2 linked regions of the Arabidopsis thaliana genome follow. The protein of the gene in region 1 interacts with the protein of each later gene in a biochemical or structural test. Each region holds a gene or a part of one and is shown on either strand. Other genes may lie near its edges.

The links. The genes of interacting proteins can lie anywhere in the genome.
Region 2: of the proteins of CDC48 (region 1) and MC9, one has a biochemical effect on the other in vitro, tested with the Arabidopsis thaliana proteins (one large-scale study listed by BioGRID).

Annotation. Positions count from the first base shown.
Region 1 is NC_003074.8:3,015,987-3,025,782, forward strand, and holds CDC48 (cell division cycle 48), read left to right. Parts: upstream 1-3,262; 5' UTR 3,263-3,507; coding exon 3,508-3,536; intron 3,537-3,685; coding exon 3,686-3,848; intron 3,849-4,137; coding exon 4,138-4,366; intron 4,367-4,492; coding exon 4,493-5,259; intron 5,260-5,343; coding exon 5,344-5,565; intron 5,566-5,654; coding exon 5,655-5,726; intron 5,727-5,809; coding exon 5,810-6,454; intron 6,455-6,543; coding exon 6,544-6,846; 3' UTR 6,847-7,066; downstream 7,067-9,796. Other genes in the region: AT3G09830 (Protein kinase superfamily protein), read left to right, coding at 1,213-1,590, 1,678-1,938, 2,013-2,135, 2,216-2,710; AT3G09850 (D111/G-patch domain-containing protein), read right to left, coding at 7,411-9,756. UniProt on the Arabidopsis thaliana protein: Probably functions in cell division and growth processes. Interacts with certain SNAREs as part of specialized membrane fusion events where vesicles from the same organelle fuse (homotypic fusion).
Region 2 is NC_003076.8:1,150,343-1,157,353, forward strand, and holds MC9 (metacaspase 9), read left to right. Parts: upstream 1-3,397; 5' UTR 3,398-3,550; coding exon 3,551-4,528; 3' UTR 4,529-4,698; downstream 4,699-7,011. Other genes in the region: PKS4 (phytochrome kinase substrate 4), read left to right, coding at 772-1,992; AT5G04210 (CCCH-type zinc fingerfamily protein with RNA-binding domain-containing protein), read right to left, coding at 4,713-5,148, 5,237-5,382; SYTC (Calcium-dependent lipid-binding (CaLB domain) family protein), read right to left, coding at 5,643-5,771, 5,857-5,985, 6,067-6,423, 6,506-6,755, 6,847-6,923. UniProt on the Arabidopsis thaliana protein: Cysteine protease that cleaves specifically after arginine or lysine residues. Does not cleave caspase-specific substrates. Required for proteolytic processing of GRI.

The DNA of each region.
Region 1 (9,796 bases):
AAAACAACATTAATGAATACTTGAAAATTATAAAACTGTGACTATATTATCTATACATAATCTATAAAAAATATTTATTTTTCAAAAGCTCAAACATTGGTTGAGTTGTCTATCATAAATGCATAATCATATACATCTTGAGTCACTCACCGTCGTTTATTGTAGACTTTGTAGATAGTTTTATTTTGTATGTTAAAACGTTTCACCATCGTTTATTCGCATTCCATTAATTTGAAGATTTATTCTGTCATAGTAAAATTCCCTAAACAATAGAAAATGATGTTGTTGAAATAAGTAAGATTTTATTACTAAATAAGACCATAACTCATAAGTGATTTAGATACACTGATCGATCTGTTGGCTACTTTTCTAAGCACCTCACCGTTGAACAAGTCAAAGGAAAAAGAAATGAAAACGTTGTTTTTATGTGTGATTGTGTGTCTAATAAAAGAATATTAATTTTGGAAACATCTTTTAATAGTAACAAATAATTCATTTGTTTTGTCCAATTTAAATTCTCAGTTCTTCGTTCTTTCGCTGACTTTAGCTATCTCTCTCTGTAAAGACTTCGTTTTTTTTTTGTTGCCGTGTGACGACTTCTTCTTCCTCTTCTTCTTCGACCTCTTTCTCTCGGAAGCTTAGCTTCTTAAAATCCATTTCTCTCGGAAGCTTAGCTTCTCAAATCCTCGATCTCTTTTGTATCGTGATTCATTAACCACTTCATGATAATTATAATCTTCCTTCTCTTCTGACGATTGAATTACATCTTCTTCTGATAGCTGTTCTGATTTTTTTCTGTATACAAAGTAAATTCAAAGGTGAGAGTTGTGTCATCTTTTGCTTTTTATATACTTGTTCAATAAGTCAAAGTTCTTTATGTTGCTGTTGGGTTTTAGTTTATTGGAATCAACTTGCGAAATTTGATTACTTTTAGCTTCGAGATCCCTTCTATTACTCACTGGAACTTAGGGTTTGTGTTACTTGGAAAAGAATTTGGATCTGTTGGGTCTAAAGGCCTTCCTCTCTGTTAAGTGGTTTTGTACTTGGGGGAAGCCTTAACTTTGGAAATGCTTGTACTTTGCAGATTAGTTGTTCGATAATATGCTTCAATGGTTTTGATTTTGTGGTTCGGTATATGTTATATGATCATTATCAGTGTTTTATTGGTGTCCTGCAGTGGACAAACATCGGTATTTTAATCTCCTCTCGATAATGAAGTGTTTCTTGTTCTCTGGTGGGGATAAGAGAGGGGAACAGAAGACCCCTATTTCGGTTTCATTGACCTCTATCTTCTCTGACCGCGAAATAAACCGAAGCGGGTCAGAGTTCAACTCTCGTGATGTCTCTGGGACGAGCACAGAATCATCCATGGGGAGGAAGAACTCGTACCCTCCGGTGTCTACTAGAGCAAGTAATCTCAGAGAGTTCAGCATTACTGATCTCAAGTCTGCAACAAAGAACTTTAGCCGATCTGTTATGATTGGAGAAGGCGGTTTCGGTTGTGTCTTCAGGGGCACAGTGAGGAACTTAGAGGACTCGTCAGTTAAAATCGAAGTCGCAGTGAAGCAGCTCGGTAAAAGAGGGTTGCAGGTATGTCTGTTTTTTCCAATCTTGTTCTCAAGATCTGTTACTCATCCACTGGTTTAACACTATTATCTCATTTCTTGGATGTTGCAGGGGCATAAGGAATGGGTTACGGAAGTGAACTTCCTCGGAATAGTTGAGCATACAAACTTGGTGAAATTGCTTGGCTATTGTGCAGAAGATGATGAACGTGGAATCCAACGGCTTTTGGTTTATGAATACATGCCTAACCGAAGTGTTGAATTCCACTTATCCCCTCGGTCACTCACAGTTCTTACTTGGGACCTCAGACTGAGAATCGCCCAAGATGCAGCTCGCGGATTAACATACCTGCATGAAGAAATGGAGTTTCAGGTAATATGATGACTCTGCTACGTTACTGATCTCATTTCACTCTCTTGACTAACTTTTATTTATTGGCTTTTCAGATAATATTCCGCGATTTCAAGTCCTCGAACATTCTTTTGGATGAGGACTGGAAAGCAAAGCTCTCAGATTTCGGTTTGGCTCGTTTAGGTCCATCTGAAGGATTAACCCATGTTTCTACTGATGTAAGTTCTGCATTCACTTCTTTTGGTTGCAAGATTGAAAAACAGGTATGTTTTTGAACGGGTTTCTTTGGCTTTATTAGGTTGTAGGTACAATGGGTTATGCAGCACCTGAATACATTCAAACCGGCCGTCTCACATCGAAAAGCGATGTGTGGGGTTATGGAGTCTTCCTCTATGAGCTTATCACTGGGAGGCGACCGGTGGACAGAAACAGACCCAAGGGAGAGCAGAAGCTTCTAGAATGGGTGAGACCTTATTTATCTGACACAAGGAAGTTCAAGCTCATATTAGATCCAAGGCTGGAAGGGAAGTACCCGATCAAATCGGTTCAAAAGCTAGCAGTTGTGGCCAACAGATGTTTGGTTAGGAACTCAAAGGCACGTCCCAAGATGAGTGAGGTTTTAGAGATGGTGAACAAAATTGTGGAAGCTTCTTCAGGAAATGGCAGCCCACAGCTAGTTCCGCTGAACAGTGTAAAAGCTTCGAGAGACGCGAGAGGAAAGAACAATGGTGGTGGCGGTGAAGGAGGTTGGTTTGGCAAGTTATGGAATCCAAAGACAATAAGAGCTTGTTGACTGCTTATAGAATTCAACCTCTTCTTACAGCAAAAAAAAGAGTCAAGAAAGGTTTCATGGAGATTCCGAAGGTTGAAGATTCTAGCGAGATCAAGATGAAGCTCATATACATACATAAAGATAATTATATATGAAGATTTGTGAAAGATTCTAAAATGATGAAATATGATTTTTGTATGAACTTATGAATAGTAACCACAGCTAAATTAGTAAGATATGTATATTAAGCAAGAACGGCTTATCAGAGTTTTGTTCCAAAGCTGATCAATCTACTCGTGCTTAAGTGTATATTTGTGGTAATGTGTTAAGAGTTCCTATTAATTACCATAAGTAAATCACAAACATAAATAAAATGAAAATAATTATGGGCTTTAAGGTCTGGAGGACTACTGAAATTTGGGAGAAGTAGTTGGAAAAAGAATATTAGTCGATAGGTAGGAAATTGATATTGCTTGTGGAATGGAGGAAAAAATTGAACGAAAAAGAAGTTTCTAGAATTCTAATCACATAACATAAATAGGGTGAATATTTGGGAAAAGTAAAACAATAGGGGTCGGTTTGATATTACTAGAAGATAAGAAACAAAAAGGAAAATAAGAATAAAGGAAAAAAAAAGAGCTCTCTTTTCCAACAAGAAACGTAGAGAGATATAATTAGAGAAAATCTGTGCTCTTTCAGATCCCATTATCACAAATCCATCTCTCTCTCTCTCTCAGAGAAGAAACCAAAGAAGAAGAAAAAGCTCTCAACTTTCTTCGATTTCTCAGGGAACTCTTTCGTTAATCTCAAACTCAATCATGTCTACCCCAGCTGAATCTTCAGACTCGTAAGTACCCAGATCTCTGATTTTGGTTTTCCGATCGGGATTTTTTTCGGATCTTCTTAAAGTCTGGGTTTTTCGATTTTGGGGATTAGGGTTTTGGTTGATCTTGTGTTTCTATAGTTGAATCTTAATCTTCTTTGTTGTTGTTACAGGAAATCGAAGAAAGATTTCAGTACTGCTATTCTCGAGAGGAAGAAGTCTCCGAACCGTCTCGTCGTCGATGAGGCTATCAACGATGATAACTCCGTCGTCTCTCTTCACCCTGCAACCATGGAGAAGCTTCAGCTCTTCCGTGGTGATACCATTCTCATCAAGGTTTGGGTTTGCTTTTGTTTGTTTGGATTCTCTTTTGATTGAGATATTGAATGGTTGGTTTCTGTCTCTATGAAGAGACATAATTTAGGGTTTTTTCTCCTTGCTTGATTAATGGATTCTTATGTGGTTCTACATAAACTAGGGTTTGTGGTCTTTTGAAACAAGTGATTTATGATCTTAGGTATTATACAAAATAAAAAGACTTGCTTTTGTACTGATCCTGTCTTGGTGAATGATTCGTATTAGTAGTCTTTATGAGTTCTTATTTGGTTTGGATTTTGGCTTTCAGGGTAAGAAGAGGAAGGACACTGTCTGCATTGCTCTTGCTGATGAGACATGTGAGGAGCCAAAGATCAGAATGAATAAAGTAGTCAGATCTAACTTGAGGGTTAGACTGGGAGATGTTATATCTGTTCACCAATGCCCAGACGTCAAGTACGGAAAGCGTGTTCACATCCTGCCTGTTGATGATACTGTTGAAGGAGTGACTGGAAACCTATTTGATGCTTACCTGAAACGTAAGTTGCCTTTTTGTTTTAGATCCTTATCCAGTTATGCAATTTTGATTTTTCTTTGGATGTTCTTGTTTGGTTTGAGATATTATTAGAGTGATTTCTTAACAAAGATTGAATTCTTTTCAACAGCTTATTTCCTTGAGGCATACCGTCCAGTGAGGAAGGGTGATCTCTTCCTAGTCAGAGGAGGAATGAGGAGTGTGGAGTTCAAAGTTATAGAGACAGATCCTGCTGAGTACTGCGTGGTTGCTCCAGACACAGAGATTTTCTGTGAGGGTGAGCCTGTGAAGAGAGAGGATGAAGAAAGGCTAGATGATGTAGGTTATGATGATGTTGGTGGTGTCAGGAAACAGATGGCTCAGATTAGGGAACTTGTTGAACTTCCCTTGAGGCATCCACAGCTATTCAAGTCGATTGGTGTTAAGCCACCGAAGGGAATTCTTCTTTATGGACCACCTGGGTCTGGAAAGACTTTGATCGCTCGTGCTGTGGCTAATGAAACGGGTGCCTTTTTCTTCTGTATCAACGGACCTGAGATCATGTCCAAATTGGCTGGTGAGAGTGAGAGCAACCTCAGGAAAGCATTCGAGGAGGCTGAGAAAAATGCGCCTTCAATCATATTCATTGATGAGATCGACTCTATTGCACCGAAAAGAGAGAAGACTAATGGAGAGGTTGAGAGGAGGATTGTCTCTCAGCTCCTTACGCTAATGGATGGACTGAAATCTCGTGCTCATGTTATCGTCATGGGAGCAACCAATCGCCCCAACAGTATCGACCCAGCTTTGAGAAGGTTTGGAAGATTTGACAGGGAGATCGATATTGGAGTTCCTGACGAAATTGGACGTCTTGAAGTTCTGAGGATCCATACAAAGAACATGAAGCTGGCTGAAGATGTAATTTTCTAGTCATAGCTTTTTCTGTGTTTGTTGAGTGTAATGTTTATTGAATGCTAAATTCTTCTTGTGGTTGTTTTCCAGGTGGATCTCGAAAGGATCTCAAAGGACACACACGGTTACGTCGGTGCTGATCTTGCAGCTTTGTGCACAGAGGCCGCCCTGCAATGCATCAGGGAGAAGATGGATGTGATTGATCTGGAAGATGACTCCATAGACGCTGAAATCCTCAATTCCATGGCAGTCACTAATGAACATTTCCACACTGCTCTCGGGAACAGCAACCCATCTGCACTTCGTGAAACTGTGAGTATTGACAGTACTCTGCTTAGAACGAGATCAAAGATTGTATCTTTGCGTAAATCTCATTCCAAATTTTCTTCTTTGCTTTGCAGGTTGTGGAGGTTCCCAACGTCTCTTGGAATGATATTGGAGGTCTTGAGAATGTCAAGAGAGAGCTCCAGGAGGTAAATTGCTAATATTTACTTTTGCTTGGGTCTGTCTATTAATTGTAATTTGTAACCTGAGCCGTGTGATTGTTCAAATGCAGACTGTTCAATACCCAGTCGAGCACCCAGAGAAGTTTGAGAAATTCGGGATGTCTCCATCAAAGGGAGTCCTTTTCTACGGTCCTCCTGGATGTGGGAAAACCCTTTTGGCCAAAGCTATTGCCAACGAGTGCCAAGCTAATTTCATCAGTGTCAAGGGTCCCGAGCTTCTGACAATGTGGTTTGGAGAGAGTGAAGCAAATGTTCGTGAAATCTTCGACAAGGCCCGTCAATCCGCTCCATGTGTTCTTTTCTTTGATGAGCTCGACTCCATTGCAACTCAGAGAGGAGGTGGAAGTGGTGGCGATGGAGGTGGTGCTGCGGACAGAGTCTTGAACCAGCTTTTGACTGAGATGGACGGAATGAATGCCAAGAAAACCGTCTTCATCATCGGAGCTACCAACAGACCTGACATTATCGATTCAGCTCTTCTCCGTCCTGGAAGGCTTGACCAGCTCATTTACATTCCACTACCAGATGAGGATTCCCGTCTCAATATCTTCAAGGCCGCCTTGAGGAAATCTCCTATTGCTAAAGATGTAGACATCGGTGCACTTGCTAAATACACTCAGGGTTTCAGTGGTGCTGATATCACTGAGATTTGCCAGAGAGCTTGCAAGTACGCCATCAGAGAAAACATTGAGAAGGTTAGAGATCCCATCGCCAAGCTCTTTATCCAAAGATTGTTATACTCTCCAATCGTTGAACTGAAGCTCATGTTTTTTTTTTGTTTCAGGACATTGAAAAGGAGAAGAGGAGGAGCGAGAACCCAGAGGCAATGGAGGAAGATGGAGTGGATGAAGTATCAGAGATCAAAGCTGCACACTTTGAGGAGTCGATGAAGTATGCGCGTAGGAGTGTGAGTGATGCAGACATCAGGAAGTACCAAGCCTTTGCTCAGACGTTGCAGCAGTCTAGAGGGTTCGGTTCTGAGTTCAGGTTCGAGAATTCTGCTGGTTCAGGTGCCACCACTGGAGTCGCAGATCCGTTTGCCACGTCTGCAGCCGCTGCTGGGGACGATGATGATCTCTACAATTAGTGATAACTTCTTTATCCTTTTTTTTTTTAAGTTTTAAAACTCGAATTCTCTACTTTTGGATTACTGGGGAAAGTGATACTGATTCTTTCCTCGTGTTTTTAAGTTATCCGAATCTCTTGTGTTTGGGTTTTAATCAATGTTCTTAATTTTCGTTTCAATACTTGTTTGGTCGTTCATTACAAATGGAAAAAATAAAGGATTATAAAGTAAGTTAAAAAGATTGCAAGTGATAAGTAATTGCTTTATAAGTGGTAAGTATCACAAATGTTCCCACTTATCAGCAATTTCCGCATATCAATGTTAATGCTCTAAGATCGGTACTTTCTTTTATAGAATCTTGGAGCCGAGGATGTATTTTTTTTTGCATCAATGGTGGTTAAAGAAGCCAAAAGAAAGGATGCTTTATTATGTCAACAACATTGATGTCAAGATAACAACAAAGCTGCTCCCAAGTCTTAAACATAAATTGAACAAAGGCCACATGTTGAAGATTGAAGATGAACATACTTAAAAACGATATCTTACTGTTCTTGTTCAAACATTGACCGTTAAATACTTCAATGTTTAGCCTTCAGCACCTATTCCACGTGCTCTAGGACGTCTGACAGCGACCAGCGGATTGACTATGCCTTGTGACTCTCTACCCAGACCCGAGCCTTCGACGAAACCCATTCTCGCCATCATCCTCGACCCAAAGCCTGTTGTGTGCTGCTCAAAGGCTCCCAATCTTTTGTCCCTGATTCTTCCTGAACCAGAGGCACCATTGTCATGGGTGATGCGTTTCCCATGTTTCCCGGAGGACGAAGATCTGTTCCGTTTAGCGTTGTTATTGTTATTACTTGACGGACTCGGGTCTTCAGTGTCAATGGAGAAATCCAGACCTAACCCAAGTGATTTCGGACGCTGAACAGCTTCTATTGGCTGTGCTATCCCCTTACCATCCTTTCCTAGACCACCTCCATCTATGAATCCCATTTTAGCCATCATTTTGGATCCAAAACCTCTGGTATGTACCTCAAATGCTCCAATGTCTGCTCCATTAGAGGTTCCCGGAGTAGTTTCAGCTACCTCTTTTGCAACTTTTTCAACTGAGGTTTTTGCAACAGCTATCTCAGAATCGATTATGCCACTTGACACAAATGATACAGGTTGATCAGCATAAGAACTCTTCTTCCCATTGCTTTTGTTTCTCTCCCGTTCCTCTCTAGTAGGTCGCTTTTTAGCTGAGTCTTTTGCTTTTTTCCTATCTAAACTTCCAGATTTCCCTTTTACCCCTCCACTGACAGCAAAATCACAATCCTCATCTCCAGCTCCTATTAGCTTCTCAATGCGAAGTTTATCGCTGGCAGATGGCATACATGTCTGATATGTTCGAGTCACCGTCACAAAGCTTTTCTTTCCAGAACCATTGCAGCTACTTGATAAGCGGTAGACATCTGCTAATCGTCTTACCTGAGAGCAATCTCGATTATGCATACGTTGGAAACAGTGCATGTCCACGTTCTCCAGAACAAAATTCTCTAACTGAGAATTAATATCAGCAAGATCAACACCACGCTGCAGCATTCTCTCACGGCGCTTCAAAGCAATGTATTCTTTGCGGTGTTTCTTGTTCTCACCAGGAAAACTACGGGAATTCTTGCTCTTTGGTGCCCGTGAAGGCCAAGACTGGGGAAACTTAGCCACCTCTTTCTTCTTATTCTTCTTCCCCGAAAGACTTCTTGGATCCTTCACAAACATAAGATCATCCATTGCCAATGGATTAGTAGACTTACCATGCCCCGAGTAGCCACTTCTTGTTGTCTTCTTCTTACCATATTCCATTGAAGCTTTTTGCAGACGAATACCAGTCAACTTTCTCGTTTTTCGATCCGAAGAATCGCTTGAAGAACTATCATCACTCGACAAATCTAATTTATCCAAAGACTGTTCTGCTAACCAATGAGCATCCAACATAATCTCACTGCCACCAATACCTTCCAAGTAATCCTTGGCAACATCATCATCAATCTCGGAATAACTTCCAAACATATCTTCCGAGCTGTCACTCTCAGATAATTCAGAAGATCCACTGCTTCCTTCATCTCCAGATTCATCATCATCATCATCATTCATCTCTTCTTCTCCATCACTCTCTTCACCAGATACATCTTCAGTGTACAACTTCATCCCTCCTATAGAAATGAAACCTGAATTCCTCCTTTTCGGTGTTTTCACAACATCAGGCATCAGTTCATCGTCATTTCCACCAGATTCGTCAACAGCATCACCCTCCTCCTCATGGGAAAATGAACCACCTTGATCTCCCAAAGCCTTTGGAATAGAAAGGCTACCACTTGGTGTAGCATCAGAATCATCACAAAATCCCAATCCTTTATGAGAATCATCACCCAAAACGTAACTCGGTTCGTATTCGTAATCATAACTTACCTTAATCCCTTTCGATGACGAAGGCGTTTGATCCAGAAATGCAACAATTTGAGTCGCCTCTGACTTCCCCAACACCAGTGGACTTTCATTCATTTGATCACTTTCAACTCCTGATCTTCGATCCAAACCTTCCTCAAAATCAATGGAAGGATATTGATACACATAAGTATTACCACTGCATTTCCTTGGACCACTCGTGGAAGCAGAAGCTTTTACACGCTCTATGCTTCTAGATCTCAATCCCTTTCCCGAAGAGCTTCCTCCACGAGATGGCGTCGAAAAGTTAGGATCTTTTCGGTAGTCGGAGAGAATACCTCCTTCAACAAACAAAGTAGTATTATTCTGACGTCGGTGACGACCACCGGAGGAAGACCCCGCCGCGGAATTATGATTGGTTCTCGTGCTCTGTCCTGGAGATTTAGCCTTGTTTTTGCCAGAACTACCACCACCGTTTGACCTTCTCCTACCACCGCCTCGCATAATTTAATCAACCTAATTCCCAGAAAACCCTAATTTGGGG
Region 2 (7,011 bases), on another chromosome or scaffold:
TCATAATTAGGAAATTTTTGAATATTTATAGTGTAAACATGAGCAACTCTTTGATGATAACTGTGGCGTATCCACAAAATGTAAATCATACAAGTCACTAAGTCGACATTCTTCTGTAAAGTATATTAGCTTTTGAACAAGAATTAACCTTGAAAACCAAAATAATTTGTTATCATTTCAGAAGCTATAACTATTTTGAGTTTGTTCTAATCAAATCTTATTTTATTTTATTTTTCCAATCTTACTTAAGGACCAAAATTTGAACTTCCAAGTGATATACTAATCCTTCAAAACTGGCTTTGGACATTCATAGAGAGACTATAGACCAAATCACCAAATATCTTGGATTTATGGAAAAGTATATGAAGAAAAACCAAAAACCAAAAATCTCAAAATCCTAATCCATTCTATTATTTGTTGATGATGACTGCAAATTTCTTGTATGATGAATTTTAATGGAATAGTTGGGTTCCACAAAATCAAACCTTTTCTATTAATATAAAAAAAATCTCTAAGGACTTTTAAGGTTTATTTAATTAAGGAAACCTATATAGACCTAAATTTTTTACATGTAAAGAATGTATTGATGACATCTAAACGAGGTAGATATAACTGTTCCGTACATAACTAACTTATAACACTTCTCTCAAGTCTCGAGTATATATATATATACACAAAGTGAGAGACTTGAGACAGAGCACTGAACTAACTTGCAACTCTGTTTTTTCAACTTCTACCAGAAAAAGAGAAAAAGAAGCAAAAGATACTTCAATGGCGCAAACTACTGTCACTGTAGTCGCGACCAAACGCGATGCTCTTGATCCTTACATCAAGATTCTTCAGAATCGATCAAACGACATCGATGTCTCCTTCTCTTCTTACCTCAAACCAGACAACAACGAACAACAACAAAAGGAGAATGAAGATACTGAGCTAAGTATCTTCGAAGCTCGAAGTTACTTTAGCGAAAACGGAAGCAACGATAGTCGATGCCAGACGAGGAATCTAAGTGGTCCAAGATTTTCTTCGGTCGCATCTGCAAAAGTGTCTTCTTTTACCGTGGGACAAACGGCATCCTCTGAAGCTAGCTGGAACAGCCAAACCGGTTTGCTCTCTAACAAAAACCGCCAAGGATCGGACAGAGATGGACGTAGAAGCAGCAAGAAAGGACCAAGATGGTTTTTTAGACGCAGGGCTTGTCCATGTTCTAGCTCCAAGTCCGTTCAGGTCCAAGAATCCAAACCAAGAATCGCAGTGCCCAAAACCGGTTCTGACCGAATCGTCTCGAACCGAATAGTTCATAGTCATCAGACGATATCTTCACCTGAGCCAATAAGATTAACGATCCCTTCAAACACTGTGACTCGGTCCATCGATTACACTGCAAACAAAGAAGCTAGAGCTCCAGTTAGTAATTTTAGCTTCCCAACTCTAAACGAAACTTCACAATTATCAGAAAATCCCAAGAATCCGGTTTTGAATCATATTAAACCGGTACGAATTGAACCGGCTCTGCTTCCGATTAAACCGGTTCTGAATCCTACGAGTCCCAAGGGAGTCATCATAGACGAAGAAGCCACAAGCGACGCAAGCTCCGATCTTTTTGAGATAGAGAGCTTCTCTACTCAAACCGCAGCTCGTCCATGGGCTCCACCAGTACGGGACTCGATGGAAGAGACCGTGTCTGAGTACGGTTACGAGCCAAGCGAAGCAAGTGTTACTTGGAGCGTTATGACCGCCGAGCCGGCCTCGGCCGTTGCAGCTAACTTCTCAAGAATTGCCTTGTCGTCATCGTCTACAGCATTTAGTGGTTACGATAAGAAGAGAACCGGTTTGTTGAACTGTCATTGTGAGAAGGCGGTTATGGTTAACGGCGATAAGCGTTTAGTGCAACCGGTTAAGAGCGTTGGTGTTCAAAACGACGTCGCGGGAAAGGTGTTGTGCAACAATGGCAGTTCTAAACTAAGCGTGACGAGTAGACCAAGGCAATGATGGATACCAAATCTTTGTTCTTGGTTTAGATCCGGTTTTCTCCAGTTATCTTGGTGTGTTTTGGATGCTTCTCGTGTAAAATTGCTCTGTTTTTTCTTCTTCTTTTTTTTGGTTAATATAACTTGTGTAATGATTAATGAAGATTATGGTTTGTGAAGTAAACAAAATCAATGTGTCCTGTATTTATCACAATATTGATCACATTTTTTTGTAATAACCGGAGTAAATCCCGGAGTGAAACCCAAACTAATCCTCAATACTTGTATGTTGTATTTAAGGCGTCTATAGTCAAGAAATAGATTCGTAGCCTTGACCCACATAGCGAATCCTCTATCCACTCGAACAAACCAATGGACCACAAAACACTTGGTTATACGATTTCTTTCTTTAGAAACCTCATCCACTACTTCTTTGAGGTCCCATGGAAACATCAATCTTCAAAGATTGTAGGCGGGCTGAATTGAGCAAAAGAAGATGCCCCATGTGTCTTTGTTGTAGGTACATTCAGAAAACAAGTGGTTCTTGGATTCAGGTGCATTACAGAGGAGACAAAAATTTCAAGAATATTCATGCCCCAATTCCTTAATCTATCACGAGTTGGGAACTTGGGAGATGATTCCAAGCCGTTACCCAAGAGATAATAAATGCATGCATAGGAATATAAACAACTTTATGCAATAAACAGACTGTAGTATTGGTCATCGATTTAGTTTTGTTTATTTGTTAAAAACATAATCCAGCATGTGTTTTTATCACATAAAACCAAAAAGAAAAATTCTCAGTTGATGAAGACGTTTAATTTCTGATTAGTCTTTCGTTTACTAAAAGCTTTATCTTTTAATTTGAATGCTTTTTATTTTGTTAAAGAGTTTACCATTGAAAGTTTGATTTCTTTTTTGGGGATATAACTTGTAAATATGAAGTCAAGAGTTAGGCTCGTAGGTGAAGTGAAGATGGTGCTAATAGCATAAATGGTTCGTCTCAAAAAGACTTTTCCGTTGCGTGCACGAAGTATATAGACGGTCCTTTAGGATTAAGGCAAATTATAGTTTGGTCAATTGACATTATTTTCAACAATGTATACGTTATATACATTCGTATATCATAGCATTTAAAGTTAATTAGCTCCTCTCTTCCCTTAGATAGCTAGATGGATTAGGTCTAAATATTTGGGAAAATGACTTCCCTTTTGAAGTTACGTATATATCCAAGTTAACCAAATTAATCATGAATCCATGACTTAGGATTAATTATGTCTTTCTCAAAAGTCTGATTTAAGGTTTAGTTTCTTGCTTGAAAGCATTAATAAGTCAAGAGTAAGCCATTAAAAAATGTTCCATAGCTTAAAAGCAAACTAGACTTGAAAATATAAATACTAATATCGTATGTAACTTGAACTTCACTACACGAAACCTCAATCATAAATACACATTAGCTCCAAAACCACAACACTGCACATGAAAACTAAACACACGTACACAAGAAACCCCAAAACATTTTGCCTAGAAAGTTGTTTAAATTACCTCTTAAACCTTAAGAAATCATATCCAGAAACTCAATGGATCAACAAGGGATGGTCAAGAAAAGACTAGCCGTTCTCGTCGGCTGCAACTACCCTAACACAAGGAACGAGCTTCACGGTTGCATCAATGATGTTCTAGCCATGAAAGAAACTATTTTGTCACGTTTCGGATTCAAACAAGACGACATTGAGGTGCTAACGGACGAGCCAGAATCAAAGGTAAAGCCGACAGGTGCCAACATCAAGGCTGCTCTACGTAGGATGGTGGATAAAGCTCAAGCCGGATCTGGAGACATCTTGTTCTTCCACTACAGTGGCCATGGAACTCGTATTCCTTCGGTTAAATCTGCTCATCCTTTTAAACAAGACGAAGCTATTGTTCCTTGTGATTTCAATCTCATCACAGATGTTGATTTCCGAGAATTGGTCAATCAACTTCCTAAAGGAACAAGCTTTACCATGATCTCTGATTCTTGCCATAGTGGTGGTCTCATCGACAAGGAGAAAGAACAGATCGGACCCTCTTCGGTCTCCAGCAACATATCTCCGGCTATTGAGACAACGAACAAGACTATAACATCACGTGCCTTGCCCTTCAAGGCAGTCCTTGACCACTTGAGTTCTCTCACCGGAATTACAACTTCCGACATCGGCACACATCTACTTGAGCTCTTTGGCCGCGATGCTGGTCTTAAGTTTCGGTTACCGGCAATGGATCTAATGGATCTTTTGGAGACTATGACGGCCCGTGAAAAACACGTGGACTCAGGGATATTGATGAGCGGGTGTCAGGCGGATGAGACGTCTGCTGACGTCGGCGTTGGGAACGGGAAAGCGTACGGAGCGTTTAGCAACGCGATTCAAAGGGTGTTGAACGAAAATGAAGGTGCCATGAAGAACAAGCAACTAGTGATGATGGCAAGGGATGTGCTTGAGAGACTAGGGTTTCATCAACACCCTTGTCTCTACTGCAGCGACCAGAACGCAGACGCGACGTTCCTTTCTCAACCTTGAATTTTAAACGTTTGCGTTGTTTTCTTTTATTTGTTTTATCACGTTTGCCTTTGGGGTTGTTGTAAATTGTTAACTGGTGGAATGTGTGTATTTTCTATTCTCTGTGGTGTACTCTAAAAGGAAAAAGGACATATAAAACTTGTTTAATAACATTTATCTTTTTTAATGGTACAAAAAGGTTTAATTAAAGCTTTTCTAGAGAATGTACTAATTTAGTTACCAAGTCAGCAGTATTGGAGCTAGAAGAACCAACCTCTTGGGTTGAAGAAATGGCAGCACCAGTCATTTTGTGCTGCCATTTTTCAGTAGGTCCCCACAAGAGTTTAACCCTCTGGCCTTTGATGTCAGTCCAGGAGGAGAGCTCAAGCATGGCCTTCTCAGCAGCTAGACGGGTAGTGTAAGTGAGGAAGGCACAGGTGCCTCCTCCTCGGTGGGGGAAGATAACAATAGATTCGATTTCACCATAGGGGCAGAAATGGTCTCGGATGTCCTGCTCGAGGACACTGGAGTTAATAAGTCTACGGATGTAAAGAGTTTTAATACTTTGATCCTCTGGTGGTTTCAAAGGGCCCGTGTTACAAGCTCTTGCAAGCACCTCGAGTACAAATGGGTTTTCTAACCTGCGGTGAAGAAAAATACATGAAACACACAAACAAACAAAGACTCGAGAATATATATACATCTATATATGTATGTAGAATAGCTTACCCAGAACGACCATGACAATCTAAGCCTCTGTTGATCTCATGGCGGTATAGACACATGGTACCTCTTGTACACTGGCGACCAGCGTCGAATAAAGGACAAATTGGTATGCAGTCTAGTTTCCTACTTTTATCCTCAATTTGGGCCATAAAAAACTACATTGAAGACAAACAATCAATATATCACCAGACCACGTAGATACAAGCAACTAGACGAAATTGGTAGCGCTAACTAATTCCTAAAACATAAGAAGAAGATTTACTCCAATATACGTACGTACAGAAAACATCAACATTTAATATGTACTTCGAAATTTTATTAAAATTATATGATTTTGATCAAGTACATGCAAGATTTTACAAAGGCCATACTAGAACAAAACTTCATGCCAGAATTGTTATCAGTTTTGTTAACTAGTTGTCCAACGGATCTCAATGTGAATAATGCCGTTTCTGGAATTGATAAGATGGTATTTCTGGTTGATCCTTCCATTGTCAACTACATCGTCCAGATTTATGTCTACATGTCCTAGTTCCTCCTATACAGAGATTAAGCAAAGGTATAATAAGTTGAAATGTCTCTGTCTGCTTTAACAGAGATTTTAACAGGCATGAGATCTTTACCTTGGATCGAAAGTGAAAGCCGGTTCCTTTACTCATGACCTCAACGCGTATACTCTCTTTCACTGGAGGCTCCTCTAGTGTAAACTGGAATTCCTCGTTCCATCGAGGGTCTCGTGTTTTCTTCAGCATCTGATCAAGAAAAAGGTAGCCAATATAACTCAAAATAGTTCTTAAGTAGCTTCTCAGCAAAATGCAGATTTAGAATTTTACCTTAGTTTTCTTCTTTTCTCCTCTGAAGAGAACAACAGCATAAGGGTTCGAGTGTTTCTTCTTGCCCTCGACATCTTTTGCAGATTGGACTGCAACCGAGAGTAGACCGGCTTGGCTGAGAAAATCATCGTCCTCTGATGATTTCTCTTCTCTGCTCTCTTTTCTACGCTTAATGCTTTCTTCTCTGAATGGCACATACCTGAGATCAACCTCTAATCTTCCTCTTTTTTTCTTGTCTCCAGAATCCATAACAACATTTGAGTTCTTAATCAGATCAAGATTAAACTCCTTCCTCTCACCCGGGTTAATCTTTTGCAAAGGGATCATCTGCATTCCTAATCTGTCGTGCCCACCGACCTATACAGATACAGAGCCGCTTTAGTAAGAATGGCATAAAATGTTGAACTAGAGAAGAAATGGGATCATTAGATGCATGGACCTTGTCCCAGTCAAAGACTTCTAGTTGAAGGACTTGTGAGTTTGGGTCCTTGACGATGAGCTTAAAGTGTTCGTTCCATTCCGGGTTTAAGTTCCTCTTCTTTATGGTGGTTTTCTTTGCTGGAAGCTTTTCTCCAGTTAAGCTAAGCTTGACATAAGGGTCGGATGTTCCCAACAAATCCTTCTTGAGGAGATTACGAGCTCGAAGAATGCTCACATGTAGTAATCCAACAGGCTTCTTTACAGACGCTCTACATCAGAATTAAACTTATACATCATCAGAGGAAAAGAAACAGAAAGATCTTCTGATTTCTAGTTGATAAACCTTGAGACAACACTTACGTTGAAGAATCAAGAATAGGTATCTCAAGCACTTGTGGCCAATGGTACATGCTTGAAACTTGCCTTTTAATAGTTTCCTGCAAAAATCATTAGATAAAGATAAGTTCTCTGTAACGAGACCGATGAATGAGCATCTCATTTGACTAGATAAACCAACTCCTACCG